2 linked regions of the Oryzias latipes genome follow. The protein of the gene in region 2 purifies or fractionates together with the protein of the main gene of each other region. This does not show direct contact. Links are inferred from orthologs where the notes say so. Each region holds a gene or a part of one and is shown on either strand. Other genes may lie near its edges. The genes, in order: cAMP-dependent protein kinase catalytic subunit beta and akap1.

Region 1 (4,410 bases), on a different chromosome or scaffold from region 2:
TGTAAAACGTTTTCGTCCACTCTTTTACCAACAACACATGCAATGTTGCAATGAAAAAAATGAAATGAGGATAAATAAAATATGTAAAACATTGAAAACAGTCATCCCTCGTTTATCGCAGGAGTTATGCTCTAAAAACACCCACGAGAGGTCAAATCCACAAAGTAGTCAACTTTATTTTTTAGCTATAATTCTAGATGTTTTAAGGCTATAAACCCCCATTGTAGAAAAATGAATCCAGTATTAAAGAAAGAAACTAAAGATCTGCTAGAGATTGGAGATTTTTGCAAATCTTGCAAGCTGAACGCATTCTGTATAGAAGAAACATCACAGAGATTGATTGATAATCGTCTACAGCCAATCAGGATACAATGTGCTGTAAAAAGAAAAAGAATGCAAAATTGCACTAAAAAGCTGGAAAAAAAACAGCGAGACCACGAAAAATGAACCGCGATATATAGCGAGGGACCACTGTGCAGATTTTAAAAACGATAAACATGAACGTAGACGATTATCTACTCTCTGACAGGAAACAGCACTTCTTAATATGTGTCAAGCTTTTGACCAATTCAAGTGACAGGAATGAGGGAACGTGATTCTCACGTCACAATTTAAAATCCATAGGTAGTTTAAAATATTGCTGACATTTTTTAAAAGCAAATAAACATATTTCATCTATAGGAACCGGGGGGTGACATCAGTGTAACAGAAAAACACACCAAAAAATATGTTCAGTGGTCCGCTTGGTCTTTTATTTTTAAGGAAAAGTGGGTCTGGGTTCTTCTGGGTTAAAAGAAAAAGTAAATTGTTTAATGAGTTTTGTTTACTTTTCCTGTCAAACCAGAAAAACACAGAAACACGGGTACTGTGAAAGGCCATCGGTGTCATGGCGGCACAAGTTAAACCTTGCTGTCCATCCGTGACTGCGCTGATGATCTAACTGTTGCAGCCACTGACCTTAGTGTACAGTAAACACCAGGCGCTGTAGGTTACCTGGTTGTTTGTCGGGAGCAGCTACGCTAGAAACAAATCTGCCAGTCAGGGCACCGTGTCATCTTAAAACAGGTTTAACAGTTAGCCGCCGCACAAGATACGGGGATCACAGGTGCGTTTAAAAGAAAAAGAGTCCCGATTCCATCACTAATCTGATCATCTCTGTCTCCGGAGAGGCTGCTGGTTGGATTCTTGGTTCAAGCATTTTAAGCAGAGTCACAGCAAAACCTTGATCTTTTATCAAAAATATGAAGAAGAAGAAAAAAATCTGTGAAAAAGAAGAGGTGCTTTCCATCGTATTCGTACGTTTGTGGTCATCAGAAAACACAATAAATCTCAACAACTTTCACGGTTTACGACCAGGTATGAGGAAACAGTTCTGATTTACTACTGTGGTGTTCAATGATGATCAGCTGCACACATCAGACTATATGAGCGTAAAGTAACACTGGCCCAGGTCCAGTTACGTCAAACCTTTCAAAGCTTGTAATACCCCCTTATCCTCTGACGAAGGTCCGATGACAAGCTGCTCCAGTCAATGACAAGCCGAGTGTGAGAAGTGAGCCCTGATGGACCTTCACCACGGCAAGATTAGAGAAGAGCTTCAACACAAACACAAGTGGGGGGGGGGTTCGATGGTGTTGGGTTTTTGTTTTTCTTCTTCTTAAGCGTGTGCACACATCTGCCACAAAGGCAGTAGTAAGCCCCCGTTTTATGAATGGAAAGAAGGGATTTGTCATTTCTTCACCATATTTGGTCATGGCGCTGTACAGAGGGAATGTTTTGTTTATGCGCCTAAGAATAAAACGTGGCACTGAAGCCAGAGGGGGGGGGGGGGGGGGGGGCAGTTGCTCACCGACTTCAAAGTGAACCGCAACGCCCGTTTACTCCAATTAGTCACGGCTCTTGGGCTTCATTTAAAGTTAAGTTTTACTGGAGATTCGAGATCCAAATTTCTGTTCAACAGCTGGCTCTGTGCTGATGATGATGATGATGATGGTGGCGGTGAGCCCGCAGCCAAAAGGCACAGCGAAAGCCACATCCCCCTGCTGTCAGGCAGAGACAGAAGCCCGGGATGACACAACGCGAAGGTGATGATGCCTTCAATGTAAACACGGCCAACCAAACGGCCTCAGGCCGGACACAGGAAATGACCGCACGCCGGGGCTAACGGTCTCGGCCCTAAATAGCTTCCAAGGGGGAACGAGGGGCCTTATGAGGGCTAATCCCCCCCCTTCAAAGCTAAAGTTAGCAAGCTAGCTCCTCTCCAGATTTCGTTACCGACTAGCAGCCAACACAAACTTTCAATTATAACATTTTGGGTATTCATTAAGATTCATATCTTTCGGGAGCGTCTTTTTTTAGCAGCGTGTTTTTTACTTCGTCTCTCTGCTTCTCTCTTCCCCACTCCCGGGATGCAAGACAGCAACACAGTCTCGGGGTTTCCAACAACTTACTAATTCTTTAAATACTGTGATTTCAATAATGTGCAAAAAAACAACAACATTTTTTTTCACGCCATGAGAAGGGACGGGTTCGCGCAGAGATGGCAGATAACGGAGGAATGAAGTCGGGTTAGCGGCCGGCCCTCACCGCCTCTACAGCGGTTTCCAGCAAACGAGCGCGTCGCCGCTGTAAAAAAAGTGTCACCGGCGTCTCTGATGGTGGATGCTAGCGGAACACGGCGGCCCGCTCCCGGCGCACACTCACCGCTCTCCAGCTCGTTGCCCTTCTTGGCTGTGGCGGCGTTCCCCATGGTGTGGAAGACACGGCGGCCGCTCCGACTTAGAGGAGGAGATGGCGGCGGCGACGGCGGTGCAGGCTAGCTAACCTCCCTTCCACTTGATGATTCGGAGGTCTTGGCGTTTCCTCCGGTGAAACGGACAAACCACTCTCGCTTTCTACTGGAAATGAGGGGAGGTGATGTCTGGAGTCCCTTCCGGCGGTCCCCGCGCGCGCCCTCTCCCGCTCCTCCTTCCCCGTGAACGGTTTCCGCTGCTGCTACTCGGCTGCTGCCTGCTCGGCTGGCATGGAGCTAGCGGTCACTGGTGTTTGTGTGACTAAGCTGCTCCCCGGCCCTCAGCTGCCTTCACGGTGGGCTCGGATTGGCTCCACGAGTCGGTGACAAGATGCTAATCCGGGCTTGCTTCCGCATTTTTAGACTCGTACTTTGCAGTTGCTTTACTTTTATTTGAGACATTTTATTAAGAATCCAACTTCAATCTGGAATTTCATACCAAATTACATTTTCTCCAAATTAGGTGGCATAAACTTTCTTTTATTCTGTAACTATAATGTACAAAAGATCCCAATTAAGCTTTCTTGCTTCCATAAACAAATGTTACTTTCCTTGTCACTTATTTACAAACACCATTGTTTTCCACATAGATACGACATATGGAACAATAAAGACATTACATATAGACCTAAATCTTTATTTTATCCATCATGGTTTAATCAAAACATCCTTTTGGTCCATCAGCTGTTTAATTCAAACGGATCTTTGATGTCACATGAAGAATTCTGCTTCAATTATTCCATCAAAATACCAAAAACTGAGTTTAACATTGTTTTGACAGCAATTCTTAAATCTATTACTATGTTATTCAAAAGCTCATCATTGCAGAGTCCAACTTTATTACCAATTGATTCAACTAAAATAGAAATAGGCCAAATTTGTTTTTCTTCTTCACGTAACACAAATCACCGTATACGCTCACTCTTCCAGAAGGATGTTGTTTCCATTCCCTACGTAGTTTCTTTTTGGAATAATTTAGTTTGTCATTTAGAATGGAAAAAGATCTGGAAAGCGAAATACTTTTTAACCAATAAAGTGAAAGAAATCTCATTCAAACTGATCCAAAAATTCTATCCATCCAAACTATATCTGCAAAGGTTCAAAGAAAATATTGATGTTGCCTGCTCTTTCTGTCAAGAACACCCTGAAGATGTTGTACATTTATTTTGGTCATGTCTCTTTTCCACCACTCTCTGGTCTAAAGTTTGTCATTTCATTTCCGCCCACATTGACCGTGACTTTCGCCTGTACTTAGAAAATGTTATGTTTGGCCTCACCCACTGTCCATCTCATAAAAAAGAACAATTGTACATCATTAACCTTTTGTTGTTTTTATGCAAATGGCACATTCATAAATCAAAAGTTACGAATCATACCCCTCATTTCTCAAACTTTATCAATGAGTTCAAACAATACATTAACACAATAAGAAACTCTGACAATTAGAAAGCCATCAAAACATTTGGTCTGTGTGTCAGTTCCAATATATCTGCGTAAAATGAAACAATAACCCCCTGGCTTGTTCTTTCGTTGTTGCTGTTTAACATTGTTTTGTATTGAATTGTTACATTCAATAAAGTTCGAAAAAAAACAAACAAAAAAAACCCCTTTTATTTGGT
Region 2 (3,814 bases):
TAACATGAAAATAATAAAGATATTAATGTGAAGACATCTTGAAAACCTTTAAATCGAATTACTGGAAATAACAAATGACCACTGCATTTATTCATGGTTTATTTTATTTAAATATAAAGTCTCTTTAGTATTTACGGATAAAAACAGATAACAGGTTCTCCCAGTTTACAGCCCAACACAAATCAAATGAGTGTAGACGCTAAAGCCCACTATGAACTACATCAGCGGTCACTCCAACTGATCCAGAGACTGACGTGGAGCTGACATTTGCTATTGTTGTATTGTAAACGTGTTATGATAAATGTGGCGGTGGTGGTACCCCCCCCCCCCCCACATACACACACCACAAAGATGCACACTAGTCTTTGAATAGCTTTATTCTTTCCTAGTACATCTGTACAATCCACAAAGCAGCCGAGGACTAACAAAATCTCAACTGTACACAGCAGACGCCTTGGGGCACTCCTGCTTACAGCCACTTAAATAACCGGGCAGACGTCGTGGGGCCACACGACACCCGACAGCATCAGCTGGAGGACAGACATGGGGGCGGGGGGCTCAAGCCGAAGCAAAACTCAGTTCCCTTTAGAGCACTTTGTCATAGAAAAGTTCAGTCAGTGGTTTATTTACAAAGAAGGGGTAGGGCTTATCACAAGGTGGGTGTGGCTCTGGGTTTAGGGCTGGAGGTGAGACAAAAGACCCCAGTGGCGGTCAAAGCGAGGAGCTGATCTCCAATGTTTTTTCAGTAAAAGTTCAGCTGCCCTGAAACAGGTCCATGGATGCCCCTCCCCTAACCAGAGACGGGTCAGAAAGCTGCCCTCCTGCCCCCATCAGCAGGAACCATTTGAATGGGGGCATCAACGGTGTGATGAGTGTGAACTTCAACCCCACATGGAGGGCAAATAACTATCTGATGAGTTGGAAAGAAAATGAAGCACTGTAGAGAACGGAAGGCAAAGACACGCTGCAGAGACGGAGCGAGACAAGGACAGGATCGGGATTGATATGACAGATGAAAACTACAACTACTAGAATGCATTTATTGTGAGGAATGAAGACCTGACTAATGTGAAAAGTCCCAGATCCAGACGTCTGGATGAAAATGAGATTGTCATGTTTGCAGATGATGCCGTCTTCTGACTTTAAACATCCGTGTCTTGACTGAATGGATACAGATGCTGCCAACGGAGCTAAAACCAGAGGAACAACACTAAAGTGTGCAAACCAGAGTCAAAGCTGGGAAAGGATGGAGGGGCAGAAGGAAAGGACTCTGGGATATTTTGGTTCATGATTCCTTCTGCAGATCAAAAGCCACACTTCAATTCATACAAACTAGGTGCGGTTAGGTTCCTCTCGGATTCTGGTAAATGAAATGCCTCTGACAGACATGATCCCTTAAAGCTGTTTTCTTCTACTATCACCTGTGCAGGTGGCGTTTGTGGCCCCGCCCTCTGCTGGATACCCTGAGGTTGCACAATGTAGTAATGACTGAAGTCCTTCATCTGCCTAAAAGTCACAACAGCAGGTCATTGTGGTTCTGATCAGCCTGCTCATTGATGGGTCCAAGTGTGACACCCCCCCACCCCCAGGCCTGTCTGTGCTGTCCTTCCTCTGAAGATGTGCATCAGACCCGTTCAGGGCAGCAGAACTTCCACCCAACAGCCAAGTTTCAGCTCAGAACCAACCTGGCCCACTACAGCCAGTACAGTCAGGGCTGAGGGGGGAGGGTCACAGTGTGCAAAGGCCCAGAGCAAACATGAGCGCAGGACGGGGGCTAAAAAAATATTTGACCATCCTTTATTATGTTACAATAGAGTTTTTTGTAAAAACGACCTCGTCCCTTTTTCTTAGTGTTTGTGAACAACAAGGGAGAGCGGCCTCGGCAGGTTCTGCCCGAAAACAAAGTTTAATTTCTTTTCCAAAGAATAAGTGGGGAGGGGGGAGAAAACAAAAAAACAAAAAACAAAGAGACAATCCTCTCAGACCCAGTGGTAGTGGGGTCGGGTCCTCAGGACAGCCTGGACCCTCTCTGGTGACCACTGGAAGCAGCGGGAGGAGTGTGTGGAACTGGAACCACATCCCGGTTCAGAACCCGTCCACCCAAACAGCCAGGCCGCGCTCCGCCAACGTCCGGTTCACGGAGACCACCTGCAGGACACGCACAGCATCAGACGGGGGTCTGCATAAGACCTACACAACACAGAACCAGGGGAGCCGGGCTCATCCAGGAGTGTTCCTCCGTGTACCTGGACGAGCCAAAACTAGCTTTACCATGTCCGTCAGACGGCCTGCTGTGTGAGAAGAATGGCTCCTGTAATCCTCTGCATCCCAGAACCTCTGCCGAACGTCACAGACGGCAGGGTTCTGTCTCATTCTCCTTCTAAAGGAGGATCTTTCCTGTGTGACGTGACCCAGAAGTGTGTCCCTTTTGCTGACGCCATTACCTCCTTTAGAGCAAACGCCGTGCCCCTTCTCCAAAAGGAGAAAGTAAAGTCCGCTTCCAGGAGTCTTTCTGGTCACAACACTGAACACCGATGAGACAGAAGAATTGTAGACATGCAGACATACAAGCACACATGCTGTAGTCTTCATCGTATGTCTGGATGCAGTTAAGTGCTTCCTGGTCTAGAAGCTGTCAAAGAACCCCTTTACAATCAGGAGTCACTGATAACAGTTGTGTTCTGACTGTCTCACCTCCTGTACCTTACAGCCTGAAAACTATGGGAACTGTTACAGCTGGACTGAACTGACTGGTGAGGTTATTTTATACACTTTATATGGTCCAGGATGCCATATTTCCATGTTGCAGCTTTAAATAGTCCATCGGTCTCCATCGATAACGTATAGAGAGCTCATCTATCCACTGTCGCCCTGCATATAGCTGTGGGAAAGTCCCATTCTGCACACGGACCGGAAGACCTTCTTCAGGATCTCTGCTGACATTTACCGCTGGAGGCCAAAGGTCAGGAAACAGGACAATGTTTGCCTGACAATAAGTGGCAGCGGAGGGGATTTGGATGCAGCTGCTGCAAACTCTCCTCGTCAGACTGATGTCGCTTTTCTCCTCAACCTTAAAATATCTTCAGTCATTCAGACTCAAATTTAGCCTGGTGCTACAGGCCACCAGAGCATTGGTCCTGTGAGGACGGAGGCAGGAGCTAGGCGTGTGTGCACAGCCACACATGGCTCTCTGCCTCTATGGGAGGGCTCTCAGCATCACCTCAAGGAGCCATACCTCTTCTCCAAGCATGTTCCACAGGTGGACCAGCGGCAGCCCCGTGTTGTTGTCATAGTTGGATACCTTCACACAGAGCAGAGGATCGGGCCGTTACATGAAGCCGGTCTGGTGAGGCTTCAGTCGGGCGCTTGTCTCACCTGTGCCAGCAGGGCCACACCTCTGGTGATTTCCTCAAAGGCCGACGTGGCCTCTGAGGAGAAACGGTCCTCCCCTGATGGAGAAGATCACAAACGTTACACAGCTGGTGGTTCCACGAGAAAACAAGCTGCCTGCTGGGAAAACCACCAGCAGACGGCGAGGCTGAGGCAGCCAAAGAAAATGCCACCACTTCTTTGAAAAAGGATCGAATATGAACGTCCCGACTCCAATTCAGAGATTTGACTGAAGAAAAAAGTTAAAGTGACCAGCAAGGTACCTGGGAGAGGGGCGATGTTGTCCAGCAGCACCTCTGCACCTTGAAATGGTAGAGTCACAAAGTCGGATCTAAAGATAAGAAACACCACAGAGGTAGAGGTTAATGAGGGTCAGACTCTTTTGGACTTCACCTGCACACAATCACAAGAAGCAATGACACAC

What was found.
Region 1: the proteins of akap1 (region 2) and cAMP-dependent protein kinase catalytic subunit beta purify together in Homo sapiens (affinity purification with mass spectrometry; 4 studies listed by BioGRID and IntAct, counting the BioPlex papers as one, with this or other methods). This does not show direct contact. The link is inferred for Oryzias latipes from reciprocal best matches to the Homo sapiens genes AKAP1 and PRKACB.

Annotation. Positions count from the first base shown.
Region 1 is NC_019875.2:26,776,287-26,780,696, forward strand, and holds the start of cAMP-dependent protein kinase catalytic subunit beta, read right to left. Parts: upstream 2,994-4,410; 5' UTR 2,750-2,993; coding exon 2,704-2,749; intron 1-2,703. UniProt on the Homo sapiens protein: Mediates cAMP-dependent signaling triggered by receptor binding to GPCRs.
Region 2 is NC_019871.2:30,776,828-30,780,641, reverse strand, and holds the end of akap1 (A-kinase anchor protein 1, mitochondrial), read right to left. Parts: intron 3,722-3,814; coding exon 3,654-3,721; intron 3,450-3,653; coding exon 3,376-3,449; intron 3,302-3,375; coding exon 3,236-3,301; intron 2,149-3,235; coding exon 2,086-2,148; 3' UTR 360-2,085; downstream 1-359.